Linked DNA regions of Drosophila melanogaster. The protein of the gene in region 2 purifies or fractionates together with the protein of the main gene of each other region. This does not show direct contact. Each region holds a gene or a part of one and is shown on either strand. Other genes may lie near its edges.

Region 1 (9,203 bases), about 21 Mb from region 2:
TGCGCGTGGCAGTTTTGATTATTGGCAACATCTGGAATCAGCCTAATCTCAACATTCGAGCTTTTATAGGTCCTGAGATCGAGTAGTTCATACGGACAGAAGAACAAACGAACATGGCTATATGGCATCCAAAATAACACTTCACTCTACCTGTTACATACTTTTCAATGATTCTAGTGAACCCTTTTACTTTACTTTAAAGGGGGTATGGAGTTATTTGTACTTTAGATTCTTCCGATTCGGTATAAACCAATTTTTTGCCATTATTCTATTACGGTTTTTATTTTATTAGAATGGGACCAATTGTCTATAGAAAATGCAAATCAGAAAATTTCAAGAAATCAGGTCTACCTAAATAGTGGACGTGGGAGGGATAATTTTCCGAATTGAGGGCGTGACAGTTTTTTGTGGTTTGTAGGCATTAGAGTGGGCAAAATGTTTTGGCATATCAATAGAAATTGCAAGGCAGAAGGACATGGCCAGATAAACTCTTCTAGTAATCCTGACCGAGAATATATACCTTTTAAGGTCGGAAACACGACCCCGCACATGGTTTTCAAAAGTAATAAGTCCGTTTTCGGCTTTCTATGAATTCTCAGTACCATCACTTTACTGAGGACATTCAGACTCGCCAGTATCGATCAATCGAGGTTCTTTTGGGAGCGCCGTACAATTATACCGCCGACATCTGGAGCACAGCCTGTTTGGCCTTCGAGCTGGCCACCGGCGACTACCTGTTCGACCCTCACGCCGGAGAGTCTTACAGTCGGGACGAGGACCACTTGGCGCATATTGTGGAGCTGCTGGGCTCCATACCGCAGTCGGTGATCTTCCGCGGTAAGCACGGGCTGAAGTACTTCACCAGCTATGGTAGGTATCAAATCGAATTTAGCTCAAGGAATGGTGTGTGATGTGTGACCCCTGTTGATTCCCATTTGCAGGTAGCCTGAGGAACATCACCAAGCTGAAGCCCTGGAGTCTAATGAACGTGCTGGTGGAGAAGTACGACTGGGACCCGGTGGAGGCCAAGAAGTTCTCCGACTTTCTGCTGCCCATGCTTGAGTACAATCCGGTTATACGGGCGTCGGCAGCGGAGTGCCTGCAGCATCCGTGGTTGGAGCAGGAGGAGTTCGTCTAAGAGGCTCATGGAGTGACTAGACAGCCAGAGAGACACAGGCATAGGCACAGTAAAATATTGCATACATAACATACGTATTTCGTACTCGTATTGTATTTCTAGGCTTAACTTTTATATGCAAACAATTTGCCATAAAGAGGAGGTAGCAGGAAAATGGGATGAGGAGCTAGCATTAAAGGACTCGATCGAAGCACACACATTTTACACTTACGAAATGCGGACGATGTGGGGGCGTTCCGCGTCGAATTTTTTAAGCTTTTTAATTTTTGTACTTGAGAGCTTTAAAATGTAATTACTAAAGAAGCGATTTTACTTTTAACGACAAAAGCAAACGAGAGAAGTAGCGCAAATGTTTTTCAAGTTTTATTTCGACGACGTGCATATAAGTATATACATACATATACACATATATTTTTTATTAACTGAGAAACAAAAACAAAAGACAATGACGACAATTTTTAGTCAACAGATGCCTAAACTGACTGACTGAAAAGGAATACATTTTCATGCGAAACCAAGTAAAACCAAATCAGTGAGAAATGCTAAATAGATTGTACGAACTAGCAAAATATTCAGCATCACATAAATAACAATACCTTCTATAATATTAATAAGCAAGTATGTGTATAATTAACGAAACCCCATTGTAGATATCGAGAATGTTCACAAATACAGATGTAAACTCAAATATTGACAGCTTTTTAGCAGAGTGTAGTGATTTTGGTACATTTAACCGAACCCATTTGTAGATGTTTAGGCCTATGTTGATTACGAGCAGATTTGAAAAGATGCCCTACTTACCCGATTTCGGTTTGCAAAACTTATCATTTAACCATCCGTGAAAAAGAACCTATCCCAGATCATGTAATTCAAAAAGAATTAAAAACAATAATAAATCATTGCATAAAAGTCTTTGTATCGGAATTGAAAACTCAAAATCGAAATTTAAATACTACCAATGATAACTACTGAGAAATCATATTACAAAATAACGAAAACATATTTTACTACTTGCCTACAAGTATTTGTACACAAGCCTACAAAGTAACATTGAACGTGACCAAATAATTTAATATTGCGGAAGATTTTTCCCCCAAACTCATATTTAATATACACACACGTGTGCGCATGTGTCCAAATGAAATTTAACAGAAATTGAAGCGGAGGAGCTGCACGTTCGCGGGAGTGGACACATATTTCAATAAGCCGAAATAAAGAATATACATACCGATCCGATCTAGAGACAGCTTATTAATGTGGGATACTTATTTGGGTTGTATAAGCACTTTATTCGAAGTCGTACGAGTATAAAAATGCAGAGTCTAGAATACATTTGGGTATGTTTAACAGTTTTAAAGTATGTTAGATTAGCATAGTGATCGATAGTCGATCGGCGGATAAACTACATAAGCATTATGTGGAATACACAGATCGGCTCCATTTAGAGTGCCAGCCCTAAGATCTGTTCCTGCTTGTATACGCCATGGTACGCGTTGCGTATAAGCACGTAGGGAAAGCAGGACTCAAGCAGATCCATTGTGAGGAAGGGCGATTGTTTGACGATTTCGTCCAGCAGCAAATAGATGGACTCTCGGTTCCGTGTCGCCTCTTTGTCGGACTCCTGGCCCAAGCGCAGTAGGGAAGAACTGGCCAGAGCAAGGAACTCTTTCATGCGGTCCTCCATGTCACTTTGACCGCAGATGGTAAACAGGGCTCCGAAGATGTTATTAATGGCCGCCGCCATGCAGTGCGTGTTATTTGAGTGGCCATCAATTGTGGCTCTGTAGAAGGAATTTTCGTTACGGGCCAGTTTTGGTATAGACACTGCCACAAAGACCATCAGTAGACAGGCAGTGAGGTGCTCACCCTCATCGAATTCTGGCTTTTTTGATTTCAGTGTAGTTGCTAATGTGGGGTCTACCTTGCATAGCAGACCCGCTGCTGAGGCCATCTCGGAAGCAACCCTAATTTGGTCGCCTCCGGGCAAATGTTCCTGAAAGTCCTTCACTGAGCTAAGCAGGAAGGGTATGCGCTTGTCCAGCACATCAACGAGGGCTTCATGCACCAGGTTGCGGAAACATATGATCACACCAATGATCGTCATGCGTTGCAGCACGCGGTCCACGTCCTGTAAGCGCTTAAATTGCTCCTTCATCACTTCAGGTTTGTCAAAACTGGTTCGCAGTGTAATGAGCACTTCCTTGTTGGTGCTCACCAGCGACTTCAACTCTTGCACCTGGTTTGCTATGTGCCACATAAGTGTTTCGTTCAATGTTTTGATACCGTAAGGTCCCACAAGTTCTGCAAGTGCTCGCAGCTCGTTGAGATCAGAGAATTCCTGCGGGTTAAATGGTACCCAGCCCTCGGGCGAAATGGGAACAAAAGCCTTTTGGTTAATGGAGAACACAATGTTGCCAGCGGAGACACGCCTTAGCAGAACCTCACTGTACCAGGTGTTGTACAAAGCGGCAATGGTTTTCTCGCCATGAGAGTCTAAAGCCTGTGTTTGCTGCAACAGGCAGTTGTTGAAAACTCGTGTTATGTCTATGTGCACGTAGTTCTCTACTGTCTGCAGCACGTTCATGTAGGCTCGAACGCTGGCCAGCAGCTCCGAGGGCTTGGCTATCTCCATTGTCTCCTGGTTGAACATCACCATGCCAACAAGATCCCGGGAAAAGCGGTGTTCCAGGTTCTGACAGAGATACTCGCGAGGGGCAAAAGCAAACTCCCAAACGTTGACCGTGGGGCAATAATTGATTGCAAAACAAAGCTCCGTCAGGGCCATGTGCAACTTGTCCATCGTCGTCAGATCCTCTCGTGTCTTTCGGTACGACTCGTCTCCCGGCTTTCGTATGTCGTCAAAATGCTTAGACTTCGATTTGTCCTTCTTCTTACGAGCAGATTGTACGGAAAGAATCTTAGCACAGTGTTTTGGCAATAGAGCGTCTGCCATTGTGCACTGCTCATCGCAAATTGTGGTTATAATGTTTTTAGCCTCCTTAGCCATTTCCTCAAGAAATATATTTACCACGCTGAGAGACCTTTCACGTATATGGTGTCGCTCCTCCGGGCACATTTCGTGCGTACAATTTTGGAAGTGGCTGCAGATTAAGGGAAACGCTATGATGTAGCGGTTCTGCGCGGGAAACTCCAAGCACATGTGGAATTGGTCGTCAAACATTTTGTTATAGAAACAGAAGATACTGAGATCCGAGGTTTCTACTAGTATTTCGTCCAAGTTATCTACCACCCTAGTGTGGAAAACCATTGAATCCAGTAGGCGGGCCAGCTCTGCATGCTCTGCGATCCTAAGTGCAGCCTTTCCCACACTCATGTACGTTTGGAGGCGGAACCAGTCCAGGCGGAATGGTCGGAAATAAAAGAGTTCGTTGTCTTCCACCTGCTTAACTGTCAGGGCTGCAGCCGTGTTGTAGAGCGAACTGAAGATTATGCTTTCGTCTTCTGGACACATTTGCAGACTTTGCATTCGAATATTAAGATCCGTGGCATCGAATCCGGACAAGTATTGCACGTAATATCGCTGCATTACCTGGCTGTATTTACGCACAAGAGCGCGGAGTTCCTCCATGTGGAATAAGAGCTCCGGCAGCTGTCGGTCTACAAGATCTTCATTGCTCTTTCCTATAAATTTAAAATAGTTAAGGTTCACAAATTTTAATTTAATCGTAAGAAAATCCTTAACTAACCTTTATTTTTGAGAAGAGGTGGGTTGTCATTATGCCTGAGGAGCCATAGAATCTCATCGCGCGCAAGACAAAGACCGATGAAAATGAATATTGCCTTAGGTCCCAGGAGGCCTGGTTGGTCGGTCATAATAAGAGCTAGCTCCTTCAAGGCTGTTCGAAGAAACTTGCGCCGCTCCCGATGCATTAAAGCAGCTTTTTGAACCGCCGTGTTGTAGGCTTCCTTTACTTCTCCGATCCGCTTGCTGTAACCTTTAATTCCGTCGAAAGTAGCCTGAATGTATTGATGAATTTGCAGGACCTCGTCGCGGAACAAGGCCACAACCCAGCTTGACTCCAGGGCGGAGAGCCAGATTTTGTTGACTTCCGGGTACTGTCCGAGCATTTGATGGTTCAGCAGCAAGCCAAAGATTATCCAGCGGTCCATTGCCTCCAGGGATATGTACTCGCAGGACATGGTGTCAGTGCGGACGGCCTTAAGAAGAATGGCCGGATTGCCTACCAGACTCAACTTTTGCATTTCCCTCCACTTGTCTGCTGGCAGGTTTCGCAGTGCATAGATGGAGGTCAGCGACCGCAACGCACTGGTTAGCAGGCGCTGGTGGGGAATGAATTCCTCGGCCAACTTTTTTAAGGGGACCTCGTAGTCCAGAATCATCTGCCCCAAGCGGGGGAAGCCCGTGTCCGCCTGATTGTTTTGCAGCTCGTAGGCGGCATTGTACAAGCCCAGAACTGCCTTGCGGTCCTCGACCCTAGACAAAACAATCATCAAGGACACGTAGGTCACAACCAAGTCCAGATAATATTTGGTCAGCTCGAAGTTCAATGTGATGTCCAGGTGAATCTGGCAGGCGTCCATCGTGGTGAGCAGTTCGCATACATTGTCCTTGAAATCAAGTAGGTCCACGAATGTGTGGTAATACAGGGACAGCGACTTAATAATCTCCGCTTTGATGTTTACAATAGCATTGAGCCCTTTGACGTCGATGTTGGGGAACCGCTTCACGATAAACTTGATGCTCGATTCCAACGACTTCTCGGAGAGGAAGCCTGGCTTCGACTTGGTGTCGCCGCATGCTTTCTTGATGTTGTATATCCGCGTAAGAATGCCCAGGCCGCGGTCATTCAAGATGATTAGTTTCTCAGCTATCTTCTGCTGGTTCGGAAAAATTGGGCGTGCCATATCCGATGACTGTTGGCGACGTCGAATGGCTGAAGGCGAGTTTCCGGTGGAGCCCAGAACACAGGTGTGCGCTGGCGAGACGTATTGGGAGGCGTGCAAGTGCTGATTTGCCCAGTACTTATACTTTTTCGTTTGTTAAATTGGCCGAAAAGGAGCGACACAAAAGTGTACACATTACTCTTCCTCTTGTTTTCGCGTTAGTGATGACCAATGGGCTGATAGCAAAGATATATTGCTATCGATAACGATAGCTACCATATATATGCTAAACTATTGATTGTTAAAAAGAAAATATACTGCTGAGAAAAAAAACATATGGCTTAATATAATTTAAGATAATTTTTTTATAATTATATATTACAGTAATTTGGTTATACTACAAATTAATAATAGCTGGTATTTGGGGTTTTAATTTATTAGAATTATTTGTCTAAGTCAGGAATAATTGCTTTCAAAACTATTGCATAGTTTATTCATTCAATTGCCAATGGCTTTCTTACTTAGTAACTTACAGTTCAGTTTTTTATTCTTATGGCTAACAAATTTATTAAAGTTGTTAATAGTAAATAAGCCTTTCTTTTTTTTTCAGTGCTGTCGTCAGCTGATTATCAAGGATGCCGCTCATCGGAACCTACTATCGATATCGCGAACCCATGAGCTAGAGAGCGATTAATGAACCACTAGTTCCGTACCTCGGGCACGTTGTGTGCCACGCAAAAACGCCGCAAGTCAGTTGAATTTCTGATATAAAAGGTGGGCGAATAAGCTCTGTTACTTGATAAATAATACAACAGTGAACTTTGACAGCCATGGGAAAAAAACTAGAGCGGAACGACGTGTGTCGGGTGCCAGAGAACATTAATTTCCCGGCCGAGGAGGAGAACGTACTGCAGAAATGGCGACACGAAAATATCTTTGAAAAGTGCAGCCAGCTGTCGAAGGGAAAGCCCAAGTAAGTGCCGCATACGATTGCATCAGCCGATCGCCAAATTTTGTGCTAATTTTCCACCTCCAAGATACACGTTCTACGATGGACCGCCCTTTGCAACCGGGCTGCCCCACTACGGACACATTCTTGCTGGCACCATCAAGGACATCGTCACACGGTACGCATACCAGCAGGGATACCATGTGGACCGTCGCTTCGGCTGGGATTGCCACGGACTGCCCGTGGAGTTCGAGATTGACAAGCTGCTGAATATCAAGGGTCCTGAGGACGTGGCCAAGATGGGAATCGCAGCCTACAATGCCGAGTGCCGGAAGATTGTCATGCGTTACGCAGATGAGTGGGAGAATGTGGTGACGCGCGTGGGTCGCTGGATTGACTTCAAGAACGATTACAAGACGTTGTACCCATGGTACATGGAGTCCATTTGGTGGATCTTCAAGCAACTGTTCGACAAGGGTCTGGTCTACCAGGGCGTTAAGGTGATGCCCTATTCCACCGCCTGCACAACGTCCCTTTCGAACTTCGAGGCCAACCAAAACTACAAGGAGGTTGTGGACCCTTGCGTAGTAGTTGCACTGGAGGCCGTTTCGTTGCCCAATACCTTCTTCCTAGTGTGGACCACCACGCCATGGACACTGCCCTCAAACTTCGCATGCTGTGTTCATCCGACGATGACCTATGTAAAAGTGCGCGACGTAAAGAGCGACCGACTTTTTGTTCTCGCAGAGTCTCGTCTCTCTTACGTGTACAAATCGGAGACGGAGTACGAAGTGAAGGAAAAGTTTGTTGGCAAAACCCTTAAGGACCTTCACTACAAGCCGCTTTTCCCTTACTTTGCGAAGCGAGGAGCTGAGGTGAAAGCTTATCGTGTCCTGGTCGACGAGTACGTGACTGAGGATTCCGGTACGGGTATTGTGCACAATGCTCCCTACTTCGGAGAAGACGATTATCGTGTGTGCCTCGCTGCGGGCCTCATCACAAAGTCCAGTGAGGTTCTCTGCCCAGTGGACGAGGCAGGACGGTTTACTAACGAGGCAAGCGATTTCGAGGGCCAATACGTCAAAGATTCTGATAAGCAAATAATGGCCGCGCTGAAGGCACGAGGAAACTTGGTTTCCAGTGGCCAGGTGAAGCATAGCTACCCATTCTGCTGGCGGTCAGACACGCCTCTTATCTATAAGGCGGTTCCTTCCTGGTTTGTGCGCGTCGAGCACATGTCTAAAAACCTGCTTGATTGCAGTTCCCAAACGTACTGGGTGCCGGACTTCGTCAAGGAGAAACGTTTTGGAAACTGGCTGAAAGAGGCCAGAGATTGGGCTGTAAGTTTTGTAAAGGAAACTTTTTTGTTATGTTTTTAAATCAAATTATATATCTAGATCTCCCGCAATCGCTACTGGGGCACGCCGATTCCTATCTGGAGGTCGCCTAGCGGTGATGAGACCGTCGTTATCGGCAGTATCAAGCAGTTAGCCGAGCTTTCCGGCGTTCAAGTCGAGGATCTTCATAGAGAAAGTATCGACCACATTGAAATACCATCGGCAGTTCCTGGAAATCCACCACTGCGTCGCATAGCTCCTGTTTTTGACTGTTGGTTTGAATCAGGTTCAATGCCGTTCGCACAACAGCATTTCCCTTTTGAAAACGAAAAGGACTTTATGAACAATTTCCCGGCTGACTTTATAGCAGAGGGTATCGATCAGACCCGAGGCTGGTTTTACACACTCCTTGTGATTTCGACGGCGCTATTTAATAAGGCACCATTTAAAAACCTCATTGCAAGTGGACTGGTCTTAGCTGCTGATGGTCAAAAAATGTCGAAGCGCAAGAAGAACTATCCCGATCCAATGGAGGTGGTCCATAAGTATGGAGCGGATGCTCTCCGACTGTACCTTATCAATTCGCCCGTCGTAAGGGCCGAGAGTCTGCGTTTTAAGGAAGAAGGTGTGCGCGACATAATCAAAGATGTGTTCCTACCGTGGTACAATGCATACCGATTCTTACTACAAAATATCGTTCGATATGAGAAGGAGGATTTGGCAGGAAATGGACAATATACTTATGATCGTGAACGCCACTTAAAGAATATGGACAAGGCCTCCGTTATAGATGTGTGGATTTTGTCTTTTAAGGAATCCTTACTCGAGTTCTTTGCCACTGAGATGAAAATGTATCGCCTGTACACTGTCGTACCCCGGCTGACAAAGTTCATTGATCAACTTACCAATTGGT
Region 2 (11,068 bases):
AACAAAGAGATGAAAAATGTTATGAATGACAAGGACATGGCAAGGGAATGCGCCAGGATCAAGCGGTTCGCAGTTTTCATGTCTTAAACGTATAGCTTTATTTGAATACTTTCTCTGCTCCTCCTTTCTCTTTCTCTCATAGGCATAATATTGTATAGTACTGTGTTGTGTTGGATTTGTTTCAGTGTACGGTTGGTGTACTTAGCCGACGTTTAGTTAACTAGGCATTACTAGGTATTGTTCATGTTGTTTCTGTTAAATATACTTAATATAAATATGTATTTCCTTTATTTGTTATCCTCCTGGGCCCATCCGATTTCATATGGATTCATAGTGCCTCGCTTTCGGGGGTGGTTACTTGAATTTTGTTAAAGTGTGGGTTACACATATAAAAAATATTTGCGTCCTCTCACGCTACACGTTTATATAAATATGTTTCTTGGGATTGGGACTGCACACTTACTCTACTGGAAAAACCATTGAATAGTCTTTCGCCTTCTTCGTTCTCTCGTTCTAATACAAAATGGTTTCGCTATGGCAAAACCTGGATTATAATTAAATCATACACCTATACTTCGCTTAGCGACTTAGTAAACCGATTTTAGTTTAATTTGATTTGCAACTAGCCACGTGCAACTAGTCCACGGTCACAATTTGAAAAAAGAATCACTTTATTTTGATTTCAGATCGATCGGGGGCGAGTGTGCGAAATGAACAATTTTGATTATAACACTCCTTAAAAGCGTTAAACGAGATATAGGTGTACATCGAGCTGTTTTGTTTAACCGTAAGTTATTGCTTTAATGGCGCTGAATTTCGATTCATTAATAAAGTGCTCGTTTAAGGGGGGACAGGGTCTTTAATTTTAAACACAACAATTCAAAGTTAGTGGTAGTGGTAGGCGGGAGGCAAAGTAAAATTAAGAGTCGTTTAGGACACTTCGTACAATTCTCCGATTCGGTTCTTTTTGGCACATTGCTGCACTTTATATTTTGCCATGTACTACAACAAGTGGTGGTTTCTCATAATCTTCATAAATAAATATACATAGGTCGTATGCTATAAGAAATTGCTGTACAACAACAAGTGAAGCGTGTAGTGGGTGGTTGTCGGGTGCTTGAAACATTGGTAGTTATGATATTCTTAATATTTTAAGCATAGCGAGCAAGTAGGGTGAGCTTTGCATTTGGTATGGCTCGTTTGGGGCATCTGGTCGGTTATCAATCCATTTTTAGAGTGTAGAAAATAAATTTGATCTAAAATGTCAGTCTATTGCGCAAAATCTACATTTGACGTGATTTCTACCCGATTTTCGTTAGTTTAGTTTAGTTGCTTCTTTTCTTTCATTTGTTTCTTTTGTTTTCCTTCTTGTATTTCGTATATAAAAAATTCCCTAATATTTATGCATCTTGTATCGTTCGTTCAGCTCAATCAATCCGCCATCCGCAATTCGTGTGCGATTGCATGGCGTTGCGATGCGATTCCGTCCGATCTCTGATCCTTTCCGATCCGTTGCACGTCGTCCTTGATTCGTTGCCCGCATTAGATGCCGGGTCAGGCGGACGAGCAGGTGGGGATCGGAAGTCGGAAATCGGGTATCAGGGGAGGAATCGGTCTCCTACGGCAACTAAATACGTCATACAGCTATTGCTACTACTGATCTACGACTACTTAGTGGCTACGGGGCACTTAACCTAGCTTCGTGTATGCGTAGGCGCAGATCACGCCCACCACAACACCAGCGGCAATATATGTGAGTAATGACCTTCGTTTCTTTGCCGCCAGCTGTTTGTCCTCGTTCTCCCGCTGCTTCCGCTTCATGTCGTTGACCTTCTGCTCCAGGCTGGCCTGGTATTCGTTGCGTTTTCGCCGCTTCAGCTCGTTCTCGGGACTGAAAAGTACGAATTTGGAAGGGGATTAGAGGGATTTTTGTTTGACTAGGCGGTTGAAAAATAGATACTGAGCAGATCTAAGACTAGATTCTTACCTGGCTGGGAGCTGGCCTGGAATTGGATCGATGCCGTTCGCCTTGTGCTGCTCGTCGACTGGCACCGCTGGCTTCTCGTTGTTGGCATTAACATCGTCGGCATGTGGCTGTGTTGTCGCGGGCACGTGTCCATTAACTGGATCGGCATCGTGCTCGTTAATGGTCTCGTACTCCTCATCCTCATCGGTGTCGTCCTCGTCATCGTCATCCAGCAAGTAATCCTCATCGCTGTCCGAATCGTTGAAAGCCCTTACGGGTAATGGCGGCAAGGGACGACTGTCGGCCACCTCGGCATCGTGGATCATGTCGTGCTGATTAATGAAGTTGTTCAGGGCGTCCTTGCTCAGCTCTTTGCCGATACTTTCAGCTCCATTAGCCTGGGCCGCGCGCATATTGAGCGAAAGTATACCGCCGGAATTGGGGGCCAGTGGCAGATTAAGCGATTGGACGCGTGGGGGCAATGGCGGCGGCAGCTCATCCAGTGTGTGAGTCTCTGTGTCGTTGCTAATGAGGGGTTCTTCAGCGTCAAGAAAGGTCTGAAGAGAAATCAAATGTTCTAATTAGTCGCGGAAAATAATCAGGGCCTTCACAGAAATCTCTGCAAACCAAAAACAATGGTTTCTTTTTCGCATCAATTAAACAATAATCATTAAGCTGATACTAGATCACATAATAAAAAACAAAACTAAACATAATACAGTTTTCAAAAGTAATCATAATTCCATTAAACAATATGAATTCTAGTAACCATAACCAAGCCCAGAGATTTCTGTGACCCCCCAGAATAAATAGCGATGTGCAATATATACGGCGGTGCTTGGCAGCCCCCAAGTTTGACTCCCAAACGCCGACCGCTGGTCGCGCATACATACGGGATCGTGCAGCTTTTTAATGCCCTCGATGATCGCCTGGTAGGAGAAGTCCAGCTGGTCGGCGGTCTGTATGAGGCCCATGCGGTAGCTGCGCAGCTCGCAGAGCACCTTGGACACATTGCACTCTCCGTACTTGTCGATAAGTACCAGGCAACAGTCCACCAGGCAGAAGGTGCCCGACCGCCCGATTCCGGCACTGCAGTGCACTACGGCTGGACCCACGTCGCGGCTGAGGCAGCCGGAGTCGCGAACCTGCTGCAAGAACTTAAGGAATGCGTTCGGCGAGCTGGGAATGCCAAAGTCCGGCCATGTGGTGTAGTGGAACTGCATCACTTCACGACTCTGCTGCGTTTCGAGATCGGTTAATCTAGAGAAATAGTCAAAGGCAATTAGTCCACATGTACAAATGGTTTGAAGCAGAAGAAGAATAAAGAGTTCTACTCACTTGAACCATCGCCGCACAAAGTTCTGGTAGGTCTCGAGACGGACGAGCTCCACGGTGAGTTTGACGTGGGGCAGTTTCAGGGCCTTGTCGGCTCCCATCTCGTTGGGCCAGTAGAGGTGGCACTTGATCTGTTTCTTCTCCATCAGCTTGTTGAGCATGAGAACTGCTCTGGACTTCTGCTCCCATACCATCAGCCAGAAGTGGCCCACTGTGTCCACCAGCGGTCCTTGGGTCAGGATGTACTGGCGCTCGGCGCGCTCCAGCTAGAAAGGATTGATTGATCGCATTAGGCGTTTAATTAGGGGTGTGTGTATGCATTAAAAACGTGACCCACCTGAACCAGGTTCGCATTGATGTAGTCTACGCTGCCGCGCTTCAAAACAATGCGGGAATGATCGTACGGATTCACATCCCGATAGCGATTCAGGCCGCGGTTCGTGTGGCGTTCCGATTCCGAGGTGCTGAACTGCTTCTCCTTCGCCTCCCGGTCGCAGGTCTCACAAATTTCCTGGAATTCCGAAAAGAGCGATTAGTACAATCGAAACTACCCATAACAACAAAGGTTGAGGTGGTATTAAAATTCGGTCGCTTTACTGACAACTTATCAGTCAATTTGCAGGCGGTAATTCAGGGGATTTTGTGAGATTTGCGCTATTTACCTAAGCGTTCCAGACCCCAGAAGACAACTACTATAGTGTCTTACTGGAAGATCTCTTCTTTCTGGTACAAAATTCGTAAAAAATATAGTTTTCGTGTTACTCAATTATCTAAGACAGTAATAAGACCAAAAGTTCAAACTAATTAAACATTTATGCATGAAATGACCCAACGAATTCTTCGATACAAGAGCAAACAGCAAATAGCAGTGCACAATAGTATTGAATGGCATTGTTAAAACGAATATCAGAGCTTCCTTTTAGAACCATACAAACTGAGAAACTGTAAGGCGCAATTAAGCTTTTTACGATTTGTGTTCCGAGAAAATGAAAACGTTCAGACTCATAATGGTCTGATAATAACTAGTTTTAAAGTGATACATTTGTTTGACTGACTCGCAAACAAATTGTCAAGAAACGAATTGATAAGATCCTGTTAGAAGAATGCTAGAATGTTACAGAAATCGAATTTGTTTTTTTCCATGGGGGTTGCCCCCTTTGCAGTGATTCATCACTTGGCCCAGCGACAAGGGGCTCCTCCGGATTGGCAAACCCTGCGATTGAAGCGATAGTAGATACATGTAAGGGGCATCGGACTGGGAGGGAACCATGCGGCATATGAAAAGCCCACCCAGTCTACATAGCGGGCGTGACTAATTAGCCATGCGATGTTGGTGATGGCGATGGCAAAGCAAGCTGTCGGTAATGGCATTATCTTGGGCATGACCGGTGCGGCATTATCAGCAGTGTGAACGGGGAATTGCTGGCGCAGCTGAAAGTGGCCCCGCCAATTGAACCATCGAATCCGACTACCGAACCGTTAACAAGGTCAATGGCAACCACCTGGCGACGACAAGTGCTCCTTAAACTCGGCTCAAAGCTAATCACATGCATGCGGTGATGAGTAACCATTTAATATGGTTACCCATCAGCTCGCGTTGATTGCAGCTCGAAAATCAGTTGTTAATTGTCAGTTCGTCATGTTTCAACAATGAATCAGCTGCAAATTCTGCAGCTGACCTGTTATGAAATAACTTTAAAGAGTCATATTTTTACGTAATCTCCAAATCTGAGACGGGCTAATGACCGATAAGGAAGCTTTTCAAAGAGCAAAATCTCAATGGCTATCGCTACATTTGATAATTCGTAATTAGAAACGGAAAGAAATCCATGGTTGCACTTAATATTTCTCGAAACTCCTCAACTCAATAGCATTTCTACAATCACCTATTTAAGGTCTGATAATCGACGAGTCACGTGAGAATACGCGCAGATAATTGAGCTGCTTTATTTAAATGTTTGCCAATGATAAAGACTTTCAGTGTACTTATGATGTATAAAGTTGTATTCCTTGTACTATATCAAACTAGATATGATATATAAAATCAACAATCCATCCGGAACTTATGTAAATCCATAGCTTGGATTGGATTCATTCTGATGGAGAAAACAGTTCTTCGGCTCCGTTGAACATTAAGTCTTGGGCCGTTTACCAGCTACATACTGTTTTTTATGCTCGGTGGCTATCCAGGTGACCCTTCTAAACGGAGTGGCGAAATCCAAGCGAAGGCGCGGAAATCTCGGGGGCTTTGGTTTCCAAAGCGTGTCGTGCAAACCGTTTTATGGTTATTATGTTTCTGCTTTACCTTGCAACGCTCGAAGGAAATCGAGAAACAGTAACAAAAACATTGCATGCACGCAGAGCACAATTGCAACGATGGATAAAGACTTCTTGGCCAATACGAATTTGACATACCCTTTCACACACACTATGCGAGTTAACAAGTTTCATATTTCATAAAATCTGGCTTGACTGTTTCCAGAGAAACGAAAAAGAAGACGGTCACCTGTTGATACCAACGACTGGTAAGGACTATAACACCCTCTGGCAGGGTATAGCTGTGGAGGAGCTTCGTCACAGTCCACGGAGGTTGTCATAATGGGACGGAGTGGGTTGGGTGGGATGTTGATGGAACGGATGGATCGAGAAGGCGCTAGGTATGAGCTGATAGGCGGGGAGGGGCGGCGAGTTGAGAAGACCCAGTGTAACGCACTTCGTTCAATGGAAATGATTAAACATAAAGCAAAGCATAGCAAAACAATACGGTCCGAATGCGTCACTGCGTTTTTGGCTACAGTCCAAATCCCCTATGATGGGCTATCATATGGCAAATGTCAAATAAATTGGAAGTTTTAATGATAACCACAAAATTAGTTGTACCGTTTATGTTCACACATATTTGCGATTTATTAATTCTTAGAAGAATGTGTTTTGGAATTTCTATAATAAAGACAGATAAGTGCCTATAATGGATTATAATTTTCTTCAGAAATGTAGTAGCATGCACAGCTAAATGTTATTAAAGTAAAAATTGGGGTAGGTCGGTCTTATTCATAAAGTAATCATCGAAAAATGTGATGTTTTCACATTGATCATAGTTGTTTTTCATTGCAACAAAAATGAGTCAACGTTTACATGCTATGGAACATATAAAATTCAGCGAATTTAGATGAATTTCACGAAAGTAATATTATCAAGCTGAAAACTATTTATGATTTAATGAGAAAATATGATTAAAGAAAGTTTATTGAAATCTCACTTTGGCCTAACAAGATCGTCTTAGTCAAGTTGCACTGTATTTCAGTGGAAATGGCTGGTAGCTATTTTCCAGTCAGTTTCGACGCACAATTGCGGGCTGCCTTCCAGTTAGCTGGAAAATTAGATTATCCTCGACGCGAGCACAAAGGATGACGAACGAGGATGCCGAGGAGCGGGTCCAGAAACGAGATATTTCTACACACGACCATATACTGTGTCATCCTAACTGCGGAGTGGAATTCCGTGAAATCCCAATTCAAGTGAGTGGAAGCGCTGAAAGAGGCACAGAGGAACAGAGGAGGAGGAGTAGCAGCTGAAGACAGTTCGCCGGAACTGGCTATAAAGAACGAGTGGAGGTGGAGGAGGAGAGAAGAAGGGGCAAGGAGAGGATTCCGACTCCAATTCCGACAGGCAACCAGAAGCAGCCCAAAGCGAGACTCAAAAAACCAGACGCATGCCCTTTGTGCCCCTGTGTGCGTGAGCCTCTCTCTCCTGCTCAACGCGAGCGGGTGTGTGTGTGTGTGCGCGCGTTAGAGGAGTTCTTCAGTGGAGAGCACTGTCACCCCTCCACGAATTGTATTTTGTTTTTGGGGGACGGCAATCACAAACACAACGAGCTTCCCAGAAATCGCCTCCAATTTGATTTGGCCAAACGAGAATTCGCGGAATAGCTCAAGCGCTCTATTGATAGTCAAAGGAAAGCGTTTTTGGGGAAAGGTATGGCAGAATAACAAGCATAAATATGCCAAATACAGGCCAATACACACGCACGAACTCACACACACACGCGTTCGATGGAGAATGCAAAGTAAAGTGCAGCAGGTGTGCGTGTATGTGTGTTGGTGCTATTCTGTTTGTACATTCTTTTCCATGGGTTTTTGTTTTTGGCCAAAGCCTGGCTGTTAAAGCAACAACTGCAACAACAACAGCACTGACACACAATACACACGCACACACGTAAAGCTCGCCGCTGCACTGGTGTTGGTGGTGGAGGCATCTGCAGAAGCCTTTTGCGCACTCATCACATTTTCGTGGAAATCGGAGCGCCAAGGAGCTGTGGAAAGGTGTATACTCCGCATCCGTTGCGAATCCTTGGCGAATCGAACTGTGCCACAATCATTCGTCCAGTTTGTAACCAGTTTTCAGTGCAGTCGCAGTTGTTGTTGCCAATTACCTTGTAGAAGCGATGCCATTGCGGCCCCTTGTCCTTGTACTCCGCCTCGATTTGCAGACGGGCAGCGGCCGCCGACCCACTCCCACTCGTTTTCTGCTCGCTCATTGTGCACACTTTGCTGCGATTTGTTCCGATTTAATAACTTTTAATTTGGTTATCAGGCGGCTGGTTAATTTCAGAGGAGAACTAGAGCTGGACAACTCACGACAGTGTCGATGTATCGAATATTTGAGCTTGCGAAATACTATCGGTATTTGCAGTGCGATACCGAGTGATAGTTCGATTGTACATCACTATATTGATCGCATTACATATTATATTCTCTTATGGTGATTCCTATTTACAAATGCAAGCCAAACACAATATATTGTATCTGCGACATTATTATTCTGAAATATTAGTTACGTCTATCGATATTTTCACCATCAAATAATGTGACCAGGCGCTGTAGAGCAATAGAACACATACTGAAACTAAAGTGCTTGCGCAGAAATTAGAACTTTACTGAAACATAATATAACATTCGGGATAAGTTTTCTATAATTTATATAAAATTAAATACTTAACTAAAGACATAACAATATAAAAACAATTGAAATAAAATATTTTAAATAAAAATAAAATAAAAAAAATAAAATAAAATATTTTAAAAGTAAAATAGAAAAATTCTGATAAGAAAATTGGGTTCAAATACTTTAAAATACCGATATTACAATCGCTCATCGTTGACCAGTGTTATCGAGTAATACCAAAAGTATCGAATCAACAACTGTTACCCAATTTATTAATAACAACAGAAAGAAGCCAAAGCAAAATGCTGACCCGCGTGTTCCGCCTAGTGCACGACAGGCGCCTGAGTGTGCCTGTCCTGCGTTGCTTCCACCACGAGTTCTCCAAGCCGCCACAACAGGCAGCGAAGGGCCAGGAAATCGAAGGCAATCCCGAAAAGACTTTGGTTGCCGGCGTGCAAGACAAGTACAAAATATTCCGCGATGAGGAAGCCACGGAGATTTTTGATGTGGAAGAGGCACGCCACCAGGAGCAGCAACTTCCAGAGCCGGACCTGGAGCTGGATCACTATTACGGCCTCAATTTAAAGCGTAGGTTGGCAATCGTCCAGGGAGAGCAGAAATTTAAGCCTTTGTTTCCCTTTGCAGGAGGTGTTCGCGGAGTGTTCGACGTTGAGGACTTGGTGGAGCTGCTCCGCAAGGAGAATGTGGACGACATATTCGTCTGCTACGTGCCGGAGAACCTGAAGTACGTTGACCACCTGGTGGTTTGCAGTGGTCGCAGTTACCGACACATGCTGTCCACCGCGGAGTTCGTGCGCCGAATGTTCAAGATCAAGCGGGGCAAGGGTGACATATTGCCGCGCATCGAGGGCGATAAGAGCCGGGATTGGATGGCCATGGACTTGGGTGGGTATTGAAATAAATGCATATTCCGGTTTCTCCGCTCTAACACGTTCCGTTTCCTTTTAGGCAACATTGCCCTGCACATATTTTCACCGAGTGCTCGCGAGGAATACGATCTGGAGTCGCTGTGGGCCATTGGCTCCGAATTCGACCGCGAAAGCCAAAAACCCACCAATCCCTATGGCGATATTTTCATGGCTCAAACACCCCTTTCTTTCGTAGACAAATCGAAACTAAAGACGTAAAATAATACATTTCACTATTAATAAAAAAAAACTCTTTAGAGCTGCGTACGTGCGAGATCACTTGCAGTGTGATTTGGAAAAACAATAAGGTATGAATAAATATTTCGTGTCAGACTTGTTATTCTCGTGTCACGGCCAAAATAACTATGCGATCGCCCATCTCTAGTTTCTTACTGGGTGCATTCGCTCAGGCAGCCATCTTTAAAATAACTGTAATTTTTATTAACATCGAGCTCTAATAGGGCAATAATAGCCATAATCCGTCAGAATATGACAGCAGTATTTCCAAACAGGAGCTAAATTCTTTTGTAGATGGCCAAGCGACGCTAGCGCCACCTATTTCTGAAAATCTGATAATAACAAGTGCGCACTAAAGTATACTGCAAAAAATGAAAATAACTCTTCTTTTCAGAGAATAAAGGCAGATTCCCTTATATCTATGAAATGTCACAATCAAATTGTTATATATTTGATATGTGATGTATTTTAATTTGTCTTTATCGAATATTGTCGGTATATCTGGTTGTAGCAACGCGTCGGAACATTTTCTCCATTCAACTGGAAGATGCAACAATAGACAGTTAATCCTGTAATTTAGGGTTTTAATAACTTTAAGAAGCCGTACAGTTTGATAGATAACAAATTGTAATAAAAACGCAAAATAATATATTATGAACCAGAAAGCATTCCAATGATTTTATACTTCACAATCGAATTTCCCATTCATTCAGAGAAAGCCATTAAACTCAAATCTCAATGGCTCGAATATATCCTGCGGCGTTTTTTAACGACTGTTTGCTCAAAATATAAATACGCCCACTCAACGATGTTCATTGTGTTTTTATAGTCATCGGGCGAGGTGTGAACAAGGCTGTTTTCAGCACATTGATTTGTGGATTTGCACCGGCCAGCGGAATGCTGAATGAAATTGGAAAATCAGGGAACTAGGGTCCAAGAAGGAGATCCTCCTGGCATTTGGAAATCATTTCTTCGCAGGCCATCAGCGCCAGTTGCGTCACGAGGAGAATTCGAACTTAATATTTTTAAAATACGTTTTCGAAAATAAGTTATCGATGGTGTTTATGAAAACAAACAATGGCCAGTCCGGCGAACGGTGCGATAATCCAATGAGCCAAAGAGCCAGACGGACGCCAATTGGCCGACACATGATAGGCGTTAAATTTTATGAAATTGCTGAAAATCTTGAAATGCCAATTAACGGCTTTAATACAATTTGTCGACGTCAATCAGCAATGATGGAGCAGCGAGTGGAGTGAGGAGGATTGGGCTACGGCCGCTCGTTTCACTTTTCCACTTGGCCATGTGATGTGATATGGGAGGAACTTTCCGCTGGGGGATTTGGCGCGTCCATAATCAGCCCATAATCGCCGTATCGATGGGTTGAAAAACAAATTCCCTGGCCCGATGGGTCAGAGGTGAGCGAGAAGAAGTGCTGATGTTACATCTCATCACCTGGCAGATGCGGGGCATGGAAGGGGGCATATATGGAATCGATTAAATATGCTTTAATGGCCTGACAAGGGGTCAGCAGTTGTTGAGATCTGCCGTCATCAGTTTGGCTGCATAAAATGTAAATCTGATCACCAATCAAAGCTAGTAAGTGTGGATTAAATGCTTGATTGGCACGTATTAATGATACAATGTTAGTTACTAA

What was found.
Region 1: the proteins of Ptp61F (region 2) and Hem purify together in Drosophila melanogaster (affinity purification with western blotting; one study listed by BioGRID). This does not show direct contact.

The regions. Positions count from the first base shown.
Region 1 is NT_037436.4:22,281,963-22,291,165, forward strand, and holds Hem (HEM-protein), read right to left. Parts: upstream 6,234-9,203; 5' UTR 6,026-6,233; coding exon 4,846-6,025; intron 4,781-4,845; coding exon 2,580-4,780; 3' UTR 2,392-2,579; downstream 1-2,391. Other genes in the region: Srpk79D (Serine-arginine protein kinase at 79D), read left to right, coding at 600-870, 942-1,138; IleRS (Isoleucyl-tRNA synthetase), read left to right, coding at 6,835-6,977, 7,042-8,293, 8,351-9,201. UniProt on the Drosophila melanogaster protein: Plays a role during growth of the oocyte.
Region 2 is NT_037436.4:1,342,639-1,353,706, forward strand, and holds Ptp61F (protein tyrosine phosphatase 61F), read right to left. Parts: upstream 7,962-11,068; 5' UTR 7,839-7,961; coding exon 7,734-7,838; intron 6,905-7,733; exon of another isoform or gene 6,561-6,904; intron 3,813-6,560; coding exon 3,639-3,812; intron 3,568-3,638; coding exon 3,305-3,567; intron 3,227-3,304; coding exon 2,860-3,226; intron 2,524-2,859; coding exon 1,988-2,523; intron 1,892-1,987; coding exon 1,690-1,891; 3' UTR 1,345-1,689; downstream 1-1,344. Other genes in the region: CG9166 (uncharacterized protein), read left to right, coding at 8,548-8,833, 8,891-9,151, 9,215-9,393. UniProt on the Drosophila melanogaster protein: Non-receptor protein tyrosine phosphatase. Required for maintaining dock/dreadlocks in its non-phosphorylated state. Negative regulator of InR/insulin-like receptor signaling through dephosphorylation of tyrosines when recruited by dock/dreadlocks.